Linked DNA regions of Drosophila melanogaster. The protein of the gene in region 3 purifies or fractionates together with the protein of the main gene of each other region. This does not show direct contact. Each region holds a gene or a part of one and is shown on either strand. Other genes may lie near its edges.

Region 1 (7,329 bases), on a different chromosome or scaffold from region 3:
CATGCCACTGACGTGCGCCGTGGTAACAGAAACAGAAGCAGAAACGGCCGAGCCGAGCCCGCGAGATTCGCTGAAAATCGATAAGGACAGGCAAAGTCGCCTGCCAAAATCCTAAGGAGGAGGCGGCGGGGGCAGGAGGACCAGGATGGCAAAGGCGAACGGCACAAAAGCACATTCTTCTGCGGCCAAAGTGAAACCGAGAGCATGTGGGTGGCGCGCGGCAGTGAAAGTGCACATGTCCTTAGTGTCTCGTGTCCTGCGGCACAGTGGAGGTTCGGTCGAATTGATAGGTCCTTTGGATGCTCCTTCAATATCTCCTGGAAGCTATCGAATAAGGTAGGGTGTAATACACACATGTATTGATCAGAAATTACCTCAGTAATAAAATCCAAAAATTAAAAACAATCTTAATTGCTGTACCTTTACATTAAATTTGTGTTGTATATATTTAAGAAATAATAAAGCTTTAAAAACATTGCTAACGTATGTATATTTCCCCCCTGGTAATAAATTAAATATATTCAGAACAGGAAACTGTAGAGCCAAATAACAAAAACAATAGCATAATTCTAGGAGCATGCCGATACTGTAGCTGTGCAAACAATTTCGACCGCCAGTGTGCTACTCGCATGCCTTTTCGGTTGAGAGCGCGAGTGCGCATTTGCCAGGCTCTCAGGCGAGTCCTTTCACTCGCTCGCAGTCCTTTTGTCCGCTCCCGCTGCACAAACAGGAGCCGAGTCCGAGTTGAGAATGAATCGCCGCGCCGAAGAGCACTTCGGATTACAGCCTTTGTGTTTTCGCCCTGAATGAAAGTCAGCCAGCCTGGGCCATCAGCCATCAGCTGGCCCGTTGGGTTGGCTGTGGGCTCCAACGCTTTCTGAATTGCGCTGCCCACGCGAGGCGGCGTCCAAGTAAACAAATACATGTGCGCACGGCTGTGATAATAGGGCGTCGCGCACATGTTCAGCTGTAAGGTCAGAGCACAGCGTGTCCTTACAGTGAGCCATGGCCACAGCGACACACACTAGCAAACGGCCAACAATGGGATCAAAGATCAAGGACAATCTGATCTCTTTTCAAGATTCATTTTATCACATCGATACGAACTTAAAACGATTTTTACATACATAAAGTGCACAATTTGTAACTTGAAGACAATCAGTATTACAATCATTTTCGAGTATAGTTATCTACTTATTAAGAAAATAATCTTGGTGCACAGTTTTCCCATGCTAACTACAATCTGGCAACAAACAAAACGAGTATTATATACAAAAGGCAACGAGGTAGGCTGCTGGAGGTCCGGGAAACGCCACCGCGGACCTGAAAGTTTCCGAAGAAGAAAGTCCGGGGCCGCTTCAGCGAAGGTAGCTGCTGGCACTGCCCGGAGAACCACTTGCGCGTATTTCCATCGCTATCCCGGGATACTATACATATCTCAGCGCCTCGAAGTTTCTCTTCTCCCAGCGTCGATAGCTCTTCCACCGGGATTTGGGCAGTACGATTGTTATAGGCATAGTCCGACTGGTGAAGCACATCGTTGCTACTGCTTCGGATATAAACGTGGAAGTCTGAGACGTCTGAAAAGCCGGAGACATACCAGCATAGGGTCAACATGCCCGCTTTGTTGCTATTTGAAAAATGTACAAGGATTATAAGTTACTTTAAGTTCAAACTGCAAAATATGCATACGTTTTCACTTCTCGGAATCGGACATCTGTAAGCTGTTCATAGTCAATGCCCTTATACATCTCCTGCTCATCCTCGGCGCAGTGCAGATACTCATCGTCCAAAGATATAAGCTGCTTGTCCTTGATCAAAGCCGGCGTTCCGCAGTAAATACTCTTCAAATCCTCTCCAGCTATCGTTTGCTGCAGCATAAAGTATTTCAACGGTCGTGCATTGCATCCGCAGTGCAGAGGATTTCCGGCCAGAAGTACTTGGCTACCATTACGCATGCTGCCCACTATCGAAGCGGGCACATCCTCCAGACTATTGTTGGTAAGATCAACATATTTCAGGGATTTCACTTTCACCAGATTGGCGAACGGCAAGTGGTAGATTTTGTTGTGGGAAAGGTCCAACCAGCTCAGGTTTTGAGGCAGGTCAAAGATGTGCTCTTCAGACTTCAGATTAGATAGTTCATTATAAGACATATCCAAACTTTGAAGTGAAGTAAAATTAGAGATAACTCCTCTCCTTAGATCGTTGATCTGATTGTGAGATACATCCAACCGAACCAGCTTTTTGGTGCCGAATGTAATATCATAGGTCAGTATTGGCATCAAATTGTAGCTTAGGTTCAGGTTTCTTAGGTTGTACGGAATGTACTGATGAGAGGGAAAGGTTTTCTTGGTAACAAAACTTATACGATTGTGACTCAAATCTAAGGTTTCCAAACTGAGTAAATCATCCAGAACACCATTGGTTTTGTTGTCCAACTTGGTGAGAGAATTGAAGGACAGATCAAGGTTTCGCAGAGATGGTAGACCAACAAAGATGTCATTTTGCAGAGTCTGGATTCCGTTCGATGACAAATTTAAAGTGAGCAGCTGCAGCAGTCCCTCAAAAGCTCGCTTGCTACAAGTTATAAATGGGTTATTAGTCATATTATAAATAAAAAATGTACAGATTTTAGATAAATCTTACCTTATATCCTTAACTTGGTTACCATACAGATTTAACTCAAACAAGACGGGCAGCTTACCAAAGGCACTTCGTTCTAAGGTCGTAATATTGTTGTTCTAAATAAAAAGTTGGATGAGTTTGGAGGTTAGAATTCTCATAGCATTTGCTCACCTCCAAATGTAAGTACTGCAGTGTTGACATGACAGCCACCGCATCCTTTGGTGGCTGACTGATGCCATTGTTTTGCAGCTTCAGTCGTTGCACCACCAACAGACCTGTAAAACTCTCCCCGTTTAGAGTGTCTCCCAGCTGATTATGGCTTAGGTCCAAGTAGATCAGTGAGTTCATCACTGGCCAGGTGCCCGATGGTATATTAGTCAGCCTGTTATGGCTGAAGTACAGCTCATTTAGGGAAATAGGCAACTGGAAAAGTTTTTCCAATTGATTATTATTTAAATACAGCTGTCGCAAACTGGTCAACTTGGCCAGCGATCCTCGCACTACGGATACCAGTTCGTTATGACTCAGATCCATTTCCAAGAGGGTTGGCAAAGTGCCAAATGTCGACGACTTGATTTCCCTCATGCTATTATGGCTAAGATCAATTGAGCGTAGCGAGAATAGGGTTTGAAAAACTCCATTAAATATACTGGAGATGTTATTGTGCGAGACATCGATGGTGTGCAGTTCATAGAGCTTTGGAAAACAATTTTTGGGTATTTCGGTAATGCTATTGTACGAGGCATTCAAGACTTTCAAGCCAGTCATATTTTGAATGGGAATCTGTGCCAAATTGGTAAGATTGTTGTAGCTCAGCTGAAAATAGGTCGCGAAAGTGGTCTCATCGAAGCTGCGACGCGAAAAGTTGGCCAACCGATTGTGAGACAAGTCAAGAACCGTGATGTTTACACAATTTTCAAATGCAGCTGTTTCAATGAGTTCCAAAGCGTTATGCGATACGTTTATGATAGCCTGGTAAATATCCTTGAAAGAGTTCTTTTCAATCTTGGTTATGTTGTTCTCCGCCAAATCGAGCAACTGAAAAGCAGCAATTAGTTAAATTTTTCAAATTTTATATTAGCAATTGTACCTCCACATAGTTCATCTGGGTAAACATCTGGAACTCGATCTTCTTAAGACGGTTGCGTGCAAGATCAATAGTTCCAATGCGGGCAATTGAGCCGAAAGTACCACGACCAATATCCGTGAGCACATTATCGCTGAGGAAAAGACGACGGAGGAAACGCATACCCCTAAAACTATTCGCATCTAGGCGTGCAATCTGGTTGTGGGACAAATGGAGCACCTTCAACACAGAGTTTCTGGCAAAAGTTCCGCGACTAAGTTCGCTTAGGGCATTATGAGAAACGTTGCACCATCCCAGCTTTGTCAGATCAGCTATGTGCTGTGCCTCCAGCTTTTTGATCTGGTTGTGACTTATATCCAAGACCTCCAACTCTCTTAGATTCTTAAATTGGTTTCGTTTCAGATTCTCCAATTGATTTCCATGCAAGTCGAGCGTTTTTAGTTTCCGCAATGGCTGGAAAGTCTCAATAGGCAGATCACTTAGGTTACCATTGGTCACACGTATGATTCCCAGACTATTGGCGATCTCTTGGCCAGCAAATAGATCCTTGGGTAGCTGTTGGAACGCATGGCCATCGATTACGAGTTCCTTAGCTTTTCCTAGAATCTGAAAAAAGAATTTCCCGTTTAGATAACGATGGTATCGGTATATTGTTTAATTCTTACGCCGAATCCTAGTAAACCAACGTGGCTTAGATTTGTGCGAAGTAAATGCAGTTGCTCCAAAGTATTATTTACTCCATAGAAAACATAATCCTCAATGGTGGCCAATGGTGTTTCTTCTATGATCAGCATTCGTGCTTTGATATGAGCAAATAGTGGCCCATATAGACGAACTAGAAAGAGAATTTGATTCTTCAGCTTAACAGACTAAAAGGACGTGTAGAAGTACACACCGAAATGTCCTCTGTAGATGGTCAACTCCTCGATGGGCATACCAAAAGAGGCCAAATTCTGAAGGGCTACGGATAAGGTAGCCAAGTTTGTATTTTCGCACCGAATGTAGAGGCCATTATCGCTGCCCTTCACACATTCGCAGGGGTACAAGGCCTTTGATCTGATTTGAAAAAAAAACACCATATAAGTGAAGAAATATGTAATATACAATATTTGGAATAACTCACTTTTTTGGACACTTGAATTCGGGTTCGCCATACACATATTCCGAACTGGCTAGGGCAATGAAGTGCAGCAAAACGAGAGTGCGCAGGCGTAGCTGAATCATGTTTTAATGATTTCGTCACCGTTTTAATTTAGTTTATCCCATGGCCCAAAACCAAGTTCGCTGCTCAAGTCTTTTGTGTGGGCTTCGATTTCCTGAAACTTATAGTTCTTTGTTTAACGATGTTCCGCTTGAATGAGGTGGGTTTTTTTTTGGGATGTGGAGTAAAGTTAACTTGTCTTATCAACGAACAAAGGTAAATGGTTTCTTCTACTTTTACTTTTCGCTCTGCTGGCGCAACAGGTTTTCATGGGCCGCTCTTGTGCGCTCTTTGTGACCAGCACTTTGGAGCTCTAATTGAATTAATGCCAACTATATTAACTGCTCCCGAAAGTCAGAGCACTGTGAACCACAGTTTCCACTTCGGTTCCCCCATTTATTCCGCGGTTTTAACATATTTTTATTTATTTTACCCTTGGCGCACAATACAATCGATAGATTTCGGGCGAGTTGGCAGCCCCGTTGAACCATCGCTTCAGACAATCGGCATCCCAAATATCGAATCAGCCGCACACGCTAATACAACCCTGTTGTGACATCTCGCTCGTTGGAAAAGCAAAAACCAGGCGCAAAATAAATATAATTTGCTAACGTTACTCTACAATTATCTTTGTACAATCGCACAAGCAAACGTAAGTACCAAAAGACAAACGAACGCAACGAACCAAATGGCCAATTCAAAGCGCGCACTTTTTGGCATTTTGCAATTGAAATGAGTGGGCATTGTTCACGTTGCTCGCCTCGTCGACAGGGAGAAATACTGACTTCGCCCGTTTTAGCCGCCATCGCGACTGCAGCCAATCACGGGCCGCGCTACACACACGCGGCAGAAAATCCGTGTACATACACGTCTGAGCGCTGTGGTATTGGTGGCCGGGGAGAACGCGAGTTACTCGCTGCATAGAGTAGCCCACTATGTGTTTATTGCGCGGCAAAAGTGCGTTAATCGGTTAAAGCCGCTACTTACATTCTGTTCTTTGCATCTCCCCCATCCACAGCTATAAAGCAAGATGAGCTACGCCGCTGATGTGCTGAACTCGGCCCATTTGGAGCTCCATGGTGGTGGCGACGCCGAGTTGCGTCGTCCATTCGATCCCACGGCCCATGATTTGGATGCATCCTTCCGCCTTACACGCTTCGCAGATCTAAAGGGGCGCGGCTGCAAAGTGCCGCAGGATGTGCTCTCCAAGCTGGTGTCCGCCCTGCAGCAGGACTACTCTGCCCAGGACCAGGAACCGCAGTTTCTCAACGTGGCCATTCCCCGCATCGGTATTGGCCTGGACTGCTCCGTCATTCCGCTGCGACACGGCGGACTCTGCCTGGTGCAGACCACCGATTTCTTTTACCCCATTGTCGATGATCCCTACATGATGGGCAAAATTGCGTGCGCCAATGTGCTCAGCGATTTGTATGCCATGGGAGTCACAGATTGCGATAACATGCTGATGCTGTTGGCGGTCAGTACCAAGATGACAGAGAAGGAGCGTGACGTGGTCATTCCGCTGATAATGCGAGGCTTTAAGGACTCCGCTTTGGAGGCAGGCACCACTGTGACTGGAGGCCAGAGCGTGGTCAATCCGTGGTGCACCATTGGTGGGGTTGCCTCGACCATTTGCCAGCCAAATGAGTATATTGTGCCAGATAATGCCGTGGTAGGGGATGTACTGGTGCTAACCAAGCCACTGGGCACCCAAGTGGCCGTGAATGCCCACCAGTGGATTGACCAGCCGGAGCGCTGGAACCGCATTAAGCTGGTGGTGTCCGAAGAAGATGTACGCAAGGCCTACCACCGGGCGATGAACTCTATGGCTCGCCTCAACCGCGTAGCCGCTCGCCTCATGCACAAGTACAATGCCCACGGAGCCACCGATATTACTGGATTCGGACTACTAGGCCACGCTCAAACCCTGGCTGCACATCAGAAAAAGGATGTCTCCTTTGTTATCCACAATCTGCCGGTGATCGCCAAGATGGCTGCAGTGGCCAAAGCCTGCGGCAACATGTTCCAGCTGCTGCAGGGCCACTCGGCGGAGACCTCGGGAGGATTACTGATCTGCCTGCCGCGAGAGCAGGCCGCTGCTTATTGCAAGGACATCGAGAAGCAGGAGGGCTACCAGGCCTGGATCATCGGCATCGTTGAGAAGGGCAATAAGACCGCACGCATCATCGACAAGCCCCGCGTCATTGAGGTGCCCGCCAAGGACTAGGTCTCCATTGCCTGACCATCTGCTATTGTCTACCTTAAGTATCTTAATATTAACGTAACGGCTGCTACATTCAGTTGTAACCGGCATGATCGGTCTTTGTTTTTTATAAAAAAGCTTATCAACTACAGATTCACTGATCATTATAATCTTGGACGTCTCTACTGCAATACGAGTGAATAAAATGAA
Region 2 (6,963 bases), on a different chromosome or scaffold from region 3:
GGAGGAACTGCTAAACTGACGCACTGACATCGACGAACCGCACCCAAAGTGCTTGGCCCGGCAAGTGCATAGATAACAAACGAGTGCAAGGATAACGAGGCTACACGGCAAGGACTACGTTTGCAACCACAGCTACAGCTGCTACTACAACTGCGTCTATGGCAACGGAAATAACGCGAAAAATGGTGCAACAGCAAAGGGCGAAGAGGAGGGGACAGTGAAATATTGAAATACAATTGGTTTAGGATAAGATCACACACAGCCCCATATCTCTTCCTTCCTCCACTTAAAGACGGCGCCAAAGGATGTGGCATAAGTGGTTTCCAGCTGCCCAGCATTTTGCTTTAAGTCCAGCCAGTTGATTTAAATGGCTACATCAAAAATTGAAAAAGAGATTAGTTACACTCAGTAGGTTGAATAAGGTTTGCCAGCGGGTATTAGCTCACTAAAAAGAAACTCTAGCTTAGACTAACAAATATGATAAACTTGAGTATTTTTAAAGGGAATTTTATTGTAGACAATGAAATGTTATACCTTTTATTGATTGGCTTTCAATTGCAGTATATTATATATGACCTAAATTTGTGCTAGTGAGTTTCTTGCAGTGAAGCTTCCAAAGTACGCGAAGGGATAGTCGCCAAGTTACCCCCTTTGGAGTACTTCACTCGCGACCTCTAAGGTAGTTAAATTGCGCGTCAGTGTCAGCGGCAGAATTGAAATCCTTTTCCTCTGCAGGCACTCTGAGCGTCCTTAGCTTCCCGCATCCCGCTCACCCCTCGCCGCTCATACTTAGTCCTGCGTCAATCACGAACCGCTTTTCCCCATTGAGTGGGACACGTTTTCATGGAACTTTTCCAGCTGCGCCGAAAACTTGGCCACAAACAAGGCGACACATGACACGTACTCGACTTGACTCCACTCCACACCGAAAGCAAAAGCATCGTCTCGACCTAGTCCCTTTCCGCCCAGTTTTCGATGGTGGGGATTAGTTCTAGTTTTTGTCAGTGTTTTAAAGTTTAAAGCTCTTTTGCGGCATATTTGCATATTAAGTGGCATGCGTTGGAAGTTCCAGGCAGCCTGCTGTTGTTAGTTTCGCCTAGGCTTATGCCATGGCCAATCTCGAGAGAAAGGTAACCGCTTTCCGGGCCAAGTTGAGGATCTCAGGAATCACTGCTGTCAGTGAGGGTTTTTCCCTTTGAACGGTTTCTGGCTCTGGCACACATTGCAAGGACGTGCGGCTAAGTCTGATAAGCTGATAAGTCAAATTAGCACTGATGAAAACATTTGCTCGCTTGTCGAGGATTTGTTTGGCATTTACACATTTACAATACATTTGGAGGAACTACAGTCACTTGACTTACAATACTTAGTTGGGCCCATATGACACGGCTTACACATTACATTACATTTTAACAATTGATTCAAGTAAAAAGCATTAAAGCTGTTCAGTCTAATTATAATCAAAGTTAAAAACCGAAAAATATTAAAAAAAAAAATTAATTCCAAATAGTAAAACTACGACATATATAGTCTGGAAAAATAAGAGGTCCAGCGGTCCTTCTATGTCAAGTTTTTTAGAACAATAAATACAGATATAGTAAATGTTAAACACGTTGATTTAGGTTGATATTGCATCAAGTTTTCAACATGCCTATCGTCATATGGGTCTAGCATTTATCACTTGTCAGCGGATACAGAAAGTCTGCGATCGAGGATTCTCTGCTAAACACCCTTGATGAATCGCTCCAGTTGGATGCTTGCAGTCTTGATTACAGCTTCCGCCGGAGTTGAGCATCCGTTGACCACGCCCTCGACGCAAGCCCGTATGGTGATCCGGTAATGGGTTTCCGGCTCCAACTGGGAGAGGCAGTAAAAGTGCTGGGTGCCCGGAAGTTCGTAGCCACTCAAGGGCTCCTCAGCCACGCATTTTTCCTCCACTTGCTGGACCACGGATGCGTGGGAGTTTTGGCACTTGGGCAAGGCATGTCGGATGGTATACTTGTGCTGGTCCAAGTCCTGAAGATCCCGCTGCTTCTTCTCGCTATTCAGGCGATAATTCTCATAGTTAATTGCGGCCAATCTCTCCTTAGCCAATGTTGCATTTGTAGGAGCAGGAGTGGTTGTGGGCGGTCTGGTGGGCTCTTCATCCTTCTTTATGGACAACAGGTGCTCATAGTTAATCACTTTTTCGAACTCCTTTCTGCGATAGTCGTGATTGCGCCTATAGATGGTATAATATTGTATATTATTTCAATTGAAACTTCAAAGAAAACCATATTTTCTTGTCTTACGAAACATAAATGAGATTGGGCAACGCATCCTCGTAGGTGATTTGCTCTTTGTTGTAGTAATCCTCGTCATCTGGCTGAGGACCTGAATAGTAGGGCAGTACACCAGCGCACTCACAATCGATGTCTTTAGCATTTTCCAACTCAACATTCACATAATTTTTGTCCTTTGCTTCCTTGGTAGCATTGTACTTTTCGGCGGTCACAAAATAATTTTTAATGACTCCATTTGGACGCCTCGGTGGCCACCAGTGAAGAAGCTGGAAATGAACAAGTTTTTAAGCTGAGAGATATATTTTGAAAAGTACTTACAATCTGGGAACTGATTTCCGAACTGCCATATATTCGGAGCACAGGACTTGGCCTATCCGGTAGCGTCTGGAAGTAGCCGATTTTTGAGTAGGCATCTATCTGAATATGATATTCGGTTCTGGTGAGGGTCTTCACGAAATACGCATACTGTGTGTAGGGCTTCAGACCGCTTATCACATGACGTCGACTCTGGTTGGGCACAACGTCCATCAGCCAGCTGGAAAATTATAAACAGAATCACTGTAGGTAAACTTGGTGAGGGCGAGGAGTCCACACCCACTTGTCATGACCGCAACCATGCCGACCATCGTACATAGTCACGTTTTGCACCGGGGCTTCCTTGTAGTGATACGAATATCCTATTAGCGTTTCCATACCCTCCCAGTCCATGTAGTCCAGGATGATGCGTACCGCAGTGGAATTTAGGTCCTCCACTTTGGGATTGAGGGAGCGCACCGCGTCGCCACAAATCACGCGTTCGCCGTTCGAATTGGGGGATACATCTGCCACGGATATATTCTCTCCGCTTTTCAGGGAGCCCTGTAGCTGATGGATTTTCTCGTAGCACAGGCGGGGATTCAGGTGAAAGAATAGTGTACCGCGCTGAATGATCACCAGGTGATTGGGTGGCCAAATGTGCTCCAAATGGTAGTTATTCACTACATACAGGGCGTATCTGAAAATGAGATAAATAATATTATTAGAATTTCAATACAATCCTTGCCTCTCAAACTAACTTGTTTTCCACCAGCTTATCCCCTCTTATGGCATCCAAATTCTGAAGAAATGTGAGCGACATCAGCTGTGCAGAGTGTATGACCTTCAGATACCCAGTGATCTCTTTAACACTGGCCAACGCATTTTCCAAGGCATCTACAATTTTTTCTGGAAAATGTATTATGTAAGTAAATTATACAGATATCATATATGATATGAAACACACCTTTAATATTGGTGAGTTCGATGGTAAGTGAACCATTGATCGTCACACAGTCTTGTAAAACTTCCAGGTCGGCAGCACTCTTCACGTGAAAATCGCCGTTGCACTCCACCTGGCAGTGGATGATGCCCTTGGCGACCAAAATCTCTTTCTGGTTTCCCGGACACTTTTTCACACACTGATAGCCGCGTATCAGGGGAATCCTTCCCAATTCCCGGCACTCCCTGTGACCGATGCACCTCCTCTTGTTTAATTCATAGCTGGCGACACACTGATTGACACATCCCATTCTTCCCTGGTAGTTTGCACAAAGGGAGCAGTTTTGGGAATAGCAACCAGTTACACAGTTGTGATCACAACATTTGCCCGCACTATCACATCCGTTTAGGCCACATGCAATGGGGCAGTCCTTAAGTCTGGGCGGTTGGGGGCGAAGTTGTGTCGTATTCACGTTCCAGCAGCGCTCCGAGGAGTTCCGGATGAACTCGAAGTCCGCTGACAGGCTACCACACAAAGGGCACTGACTTTGCGGTCTGTTGTGCTATGGTTAATAAAAAAGTTATTTATCCAATATTTGCTTAATATCAAGGAACATATGCCCAAGTATATCTTCACTCACTTTAAGGGAAAAGTGCTGCCGAGTGGCATTGCCCATTAGATATATCCAATCGACGGTTTCCACGAAGCACAGCAAGGGATTCGATTCGACGCGAATGAATCCGCTCTGGATGCGCAATAACTCCACCAGGCCGAGCTCCCTGAGATTGCGATTCTCGTAGACCACCAGGGAGTACTGATCAAAGAGGAGCTCCTGCCCACGAATGATACGCAGCCGTGGGAATATCGACTGCAGGCTGATCAGACCCGTGCAGCGATACACCATTAGGTAGTCACTGATCTCGGTCACATTGCTGGCCAGCGAATCCAGGCTGTAGTTGCCGGATACATCCGTCAGATCCACATAGGCCAGTCGAACGTGACCCACCACATGAGTACAGTTCTGCAGTTTCCGCAGGTCCGCAATCTTATTTATCTCCAACGATCCGCAGGCGGTTTGATCATCGGAACTGGCCAAAACCGGCGATGAGGCGCCCAAAAACAGCAGTATCAACGGAACTGCGATCGAGATGGGGATCGGAAGGGGGTTGGGAACGGGGTGCAGATGCCCCATGCTGCCACCTGACACTTCCAATTGAGAGCACTTGACCCGGGCGTTAAGGGGGCTTCCAATGGATCAATTAGCGCGCCCGCTTGAATGTCAATGTCGTTTTTCTCGCACGATCGATCGGTTGAACTATATATTTTTTTAAATATTTTTTCCGCTTTTGAAGAGAGCTGCGTTCGCGGCAACGATTCGATTTGGACTGATGGCATTCGATTCGAACAGCGTTCTGTGCTTTCGATCTCTTTAATTAGCCTCTTCTTTCGGCATTCACTTTGTTTTGTTTTGTTTGGTTTTGTTTCACACTGTTATTTCTTTTTTATGCGCTCGTCTTCGTTCTCTAAACCCTTCGGCTACACCAGCGGAAAATCGTGTAGTGTTCATAAAACTATTCAAATTTGTCGACATTTATAAGAACCTAAAAATGTATGCAAAGCGAACATATTTAGTAACCTTTTTCTTAAGCAAAATATCTTTTAAGCAGATTTCCAAAATTATTACAATAATAAAATATTTAGCATATTGTTTGATAGAGCCAATTCTAATATAAATATCTAAATATCTTCAAAAACCAGAACTATTTTTTCGACTCGGTGTATAAAAACTGCTCAAGAATGAAAATCAAAGGTGGTGGCTGTTGTGAGAGAAGAAGACTGATGATTCGATGGGGAGCAGTCTGGTAATATTTACGTTAATGAAAGTAAACATTTCGTAAAACAATATCGTAAAATAATATACTTGCCGGTCTTGCTATTTGTTTGTTTCTAGTTTTCTCAATCAAATTTAAACCCCCTAATGCCCTTTTGCAGTCAATTAAAAAAGTGATATACGAAACTTAAAATTAAGATTAAGAGTACCATGATAATTCGTATGATCTTTTACGGTTTTTGATAGATCGATTTGTGGAGCTACAAATGAAATTCAAAAACTGGAAACCCTTTTTGAAATTCTTGGCACGCCACTGTTTCATTTTGTTGGGGAGCGATTATTTTACGCATCTGTTACCTTTCACGTTTTTCTCATTGTCGTTTCCTTGTTGCCGTCAGCCGAAAAACACTTGTTACTTCTGCAACCGCCACAGCCCCTTGCCACGCCCCCACTCCCCATGTGACCTTGCAACCATTTGCAAACCGGTTGGATCCTCTTCCCCCTTCCTCCTTAGCTACCTTCCCCTTAGCCACCTACCGGCGTTCTTTACCTTTTTCCCCAGAGTGCATGTCTTTGCCTTTTGTTTTTGCATTTGCGCAGAAATTAAATTGCACCGGCGAACAATTCAATTAGAGTGAATGCAAAAAAACAGTGAAAATAAGAGCGAAAATGGTGGGAGGGGGTGAACCAAAGCTCCAATCCAATTGGTAGAGTAGTGAGCATTGAACAACGCGCAATTGGCAGTTCATTAAGGTGCAAGTAACGCTCAATGGAATCGGAAAAAGAATTTTCTAAATTTAGTCAGATGCCAATTGAATACGCAGCTTGAATGATTGTTCAATAACAAAAAAATAGATAATATATTTATGTGTTAAATACAATAGCAATAGAAATCTATAAATAATTTGCGCAAAATTGTGCCCCGTTGTTTTAGATATTTTAATGGGCAAACCACATAAAAACGCACGAAATAATTTCAAATTTTCACTTTGTTATTATAGGGTATATCTTTAGTGTAGTACTTTGAATATATCATTACATATGTAACAGCGGATAAAATCTGCCTAATTCACCCCAGGATAATTATTTAGTTATTATATCTATTCCAAAAATTATTTTAAACATAATAATTTATGTTACCGTCGCGATAATCCATTCAAAATTAGTTAATAATTGATAAAACCATCATCAATGGTCAATATAGGCAGTAATTTATTATTATTATTTATCATAAAACGTTATTTTTAGCTTTAAATATGCTTAAAGCCAACTTCTATTTCTAAAAACAAAACTGCCATAAACTGTATCTTTTTTTAACGAGTGCAAAATGCACAAATTCACGCAAAATCACCAGCTGCACCCACATAAAAAATCGCAGTAAACGTGTGAAAAAACCACACAGGCATAACTATCAATGATTTTTTCGTTAGCTGATGTGCTCTTTTTCTCCGTTTTCCCGCCACCCGCCTGTGAATCAATTTTCGCAGTAATTTGCAGAGCCTGCGCTGATGTGAAACGCGCGGAATTTAATGCAGCATCCTTTCCGGCGGCACGTCAAACTATGAGCATCCCCACCAGCGCCCACTACCACCCCTCACCACGGAAGCCCCCAT
Region 3 (3,080 bases):
TTGTTATTTAAGGTCTGCATGAATTTAGTTGATTCCGTTTATTTTAGCTTTCAAAATGTAATAATCTTCTAATTTACAACTACACAGAACGATTAAATTATGAGTATTGCTATAAAATCGGCCAACCGCGACTAGAAATACTCGACTTTTAAGGTCAACATAAAAGTAAGTCAATGTTTTGATTATAAGATTTGATCAATTACTTCTTTACGGATGATATAATCATCGATAAACGAAGTACGAAAAAAGCTATGAACTAAAATTTGGAAATTTCCCACATGCGACTAACTTTTGAATTGCAATTGGATTGCCTACTGTATTAAGACAGAAACAAGTTTTGGAAATGAATGAATGGTTTAAATTGTTTCAAGTTTTTTTAAGATTTTTTTTGTTTTCAATAAATTTAGTTTTAATAGAAAAAAAGATATATTCATTTTAGATTTCTGAATACTTGTGTTATATCGCTTTTTATTCAAGTGTAATAATCAACATATATATCATATAATGATAATAATAAATGTAACGTCCCAAATTAATAATAATATAAAGTAGCATTTGCGATTGTTTGCCAAAGCTTAAAGCAGAATATATATTTAATCCATTTCGATCATTCGTAAAGAGTAACATGCAACAAGCTGTAAAAAACATCGATTGTAGTATATATGCACATGGTTGGTTTGGAACCAGATCCAGAGATAATCGCGTCGACCAGGTCAGTTGGGGTCAATGATTTTCGCATTAGGAGGCCTAATTTCTGACCACGGAGCAGTACTCCCGCAGAGCCTTCATATCACAGGACTTTTTGCAGCACCTCTCCACGATTCCTTGCCGTTGGCGAGTTCGCCTCCGGACTTCAGCCAGGGAATTGAGTACACCCCCAAGATAGCTCCCAGGAAAGAGGGCACTTCGCAGCGGTTCCGATATCGAGTTATCCTCCTCCTCGAACTCCTGGACAAACTGCAGGGGATTGAGGGCGTCCAGATCGCTGTCGGCACCGGCTAATAAAAATCGTGGATACAATGTAGATCTAGCAAAGCCAGCTTGAGGATCTGCATCCTTGTAAGAACTTACGCATGGCGCGCTTGTGTGGAATCACGGGATTATACTCCTCGCACACCATACTCAGCACCTCGTTGAGCTTTTCACTGCAGAGCGTTCCTTGGGCCAACTTCACTGTGGAGCTGGCCAGCAAAATCACGGCCACCATCGAGATGAAGGACAAAGGCTTGCTCATGGTTATGGGTTTACTGCTTAGGTTGCTTTACGATCAAATGGATTAAGTTGGGTCGAGCCGGGTCGAAAGCTAACTGATGATGTTTGGCCCAAAGTAACTGGCTTATATACTGCCTCGTAAGAAACTTAAACTGGGTCTGGGTCGGGGTCGGTCTCTCGGGGTCGGGGTCTGGATCCACACACATGTTATCCTCAAAAGTCAGGTTGTCAAATTGTGTTAGGATGCGATGAGTGCATTCCGGAGTTGGCTCTTCTCTCTAACGCCTGGCTAAACTCATTCAATGTCAAAGCTGACTTATGCAAATGGCTATTGGAAAATTGTGGGTGGTTTTTGGGTGGCTGTGTTTGGGAGAAGAAGGGCTTTGTGGGCGTTTTGCTGTCAGCCAATTAAACAATTTATGTATAAACAGCCAGGCCGTACTAAGCCCTGCATTTATGAATACCAAATAAGTCCTTGGTCTTAAAGTTACCTCGCCTTTACAGCCCGTTTGCCTCTACCATTTCTACCCTATACTTACCAATCCGCGCCTGGGCGCCCGGCAGGCCGGAGTAGGCCAACAAGAACCCGAGCCAGCTGATTGGAGCCAGCAGCATCCTGGCAACGAATTACGCCTCCTTGGTACTTTTCCTTTGACTGTCTTGTCTTTGCCGCTCACACAAATTCTTCTTTTTGCACTGTCTACTTTTATTCATTAGTCAAAGTTGGTGCTGCATAAATAAGTGATTACGAATTGGATTACGAATGCTGTTAGGAGAACGGGTGTACATATAGTATGTATGTGGGAATGCCATGTTCAAGTGTTCGTATGTATGTATGTATGTGTATGCATGCTGGGTAATGAATGTGTGTGTGTTGGCCAAGTGTCCTATTTCGGTAGACAGTAGATGGCTAACTCCAAGTAGCTGCAGGTCTTGACGCAGCACTCGTCGTAGACGCCACCGGTCAGGTGTCTCCTGTGGCGACGCATCTTGATCAGGACCTCGGATCCGTACAGATTGGTTAGCAGTGGACTAAAAGAGTATCCTGCCCCGTCCAGTGTCTGCCACATGCTGCTATCATCCTGCACCTCCTGCTCCGTGTCCTCGTCGTCGTCGCTGTTGCCCAGCAAGCTTTCACGTTTCCTTGGCAGCGTATTAAAGCCATGGGGACACACCACATCCATGGCATCGGACAGTGCGGGGCCGCAGAGTTTGTGGTTTCCGGGGGGCAGCAACTGGTGACCACTGCCAGTCGGCGTGACCATTGCCATTGCAGCGGTGAGCATGGCTGCGATGAGCAGCGACTGGAGCCGAAGGCCATGTACTGCTGCACCGTTGTGCTGGCTAAACATCTTGGATATGCAGTGAATGCTCTGGGCTGCAACTGGTATTTATACCACTAAATCGGAAGCGCTAGCTAATGCAGTTCAATGGCCTCTTCTGCAGTCTAGCATTGCAGTGGCATAGCAAGCCCCACGGGCGTACAAACTGCAAATCCTTTGATCACCCATGTTTCAGGTACCGTTTTTCCCCTAAAAATGCAAACTCTATTTCTAGCTCTACTCCCCAATTTGGATGGAAAAGCGATGCACTGTTGTTTTGGTAGTTGGGGTATTGTATTGTATTTCTTAGCAAATATCAGTTGTATCATTACCTATATCTATCTATACCAATAGTTTGGAATGTATTTGTAAGACATTTTTAAGATATTCAGAAGAGTTAGCCTTATGGGACTTGCTCTAAAGTGTGAATTGATGCACACAGCTTTATCGAGCATAGTTTTCAGTGTAATCACCGCCAAAAAATCCGCCCACTTCAAAGCATAACCCGTTCGCCCAACCTGTTACATTGCCGCTAAGAGGCTCTGA

What was found.
Region 1: the proteins of Ilp2 (region 3) and conv purify together in Drosophila melanogaster (affinity purification with western blotting; one study listed by BioGRID). This does not show direct contact.
Region 2: the proteins of Ilp2 (region 3) and Sdr purify together in Drosophila melanogaster (affinity purification with western blotting, with the first as the bait; one study listed by BioGRID). This does not show direct contact.

Annotation. Positions count from the first base shown.
Region 1 is NT_033778.4:14,268,780-14,276,108, reverse strand, and holds conv (convoluted), read right to left. Parts: upstream 5,381-7,329; 5' UTR 4,940-5,380; coding exon 4,839-4,939; intron 4,772-4,838; coding exon 4,611-4,771; intron 4,551-4,610; coding exon 4,381-4,550; intron 4,322-4,380; coding exon 3,719-4,321; intron 3,667-3,718; coding exon 2,800-3,666; intron 2,745-2,799; coding exon 2,650-2,744; intron 2,581-2,649; coding exon 1,693-2,580; intron 1,631-1,692; coding exon 1,237-1,630; 3' UTR 614-1,236; downstream 1-613. Other genes in the region: Sps1 (selenophosphate synthetase 1), read left to right, coding at 5,947-7,143.
Region 2 is NT_033777.3:14,916,626-14,923,588, reverse strand, and holds Sdr (secreted decoy of InR), read right to left. Parts: upstream 4,962-6,963; 5' UTR 4,712-4,961; coding exon 4,160-4,711; intron 4,082-4,159; coding exon 3,544-4,081; intron 3,486-3,543; coding exon 3,338-3,485; intron 3,277-3,337; coding exon 2,881-3,276; intron 2,818-2,880; coding exon 2,601-2,817; intron 2,549-2,600; coding exon 2,292-2,548; intron 2,222-2,291; coding exon 1,723-2,221; 3' UTR 506-1,722; downstream 1-505.
Region 3 is NT_037436.4:9,797,918-9,800,997, reverse strand, and holds Ilp2 (Insulin-like peptide 2), read right to left. Parts: upstream 1,301-3,080; 5' UTR 1,235-1,300; coding exon 1,072-1,234; intron 999-1,071; coding exon 748-998; 3' UTR 558-747; downstream 1-557. Other genes in the region: CG32052 (uncharacterized protein), read right to left, coding at 1,752-1,827; Ilp1 (Insulin-like peptide 1), read right to left, coding at 2,100-2,564. UniProt on the Drosophila melanogaster protein: Possible ligand of InR/insulin-like receptor. Plays a role in regulating body size by increasing cell size and cell number of individual organs.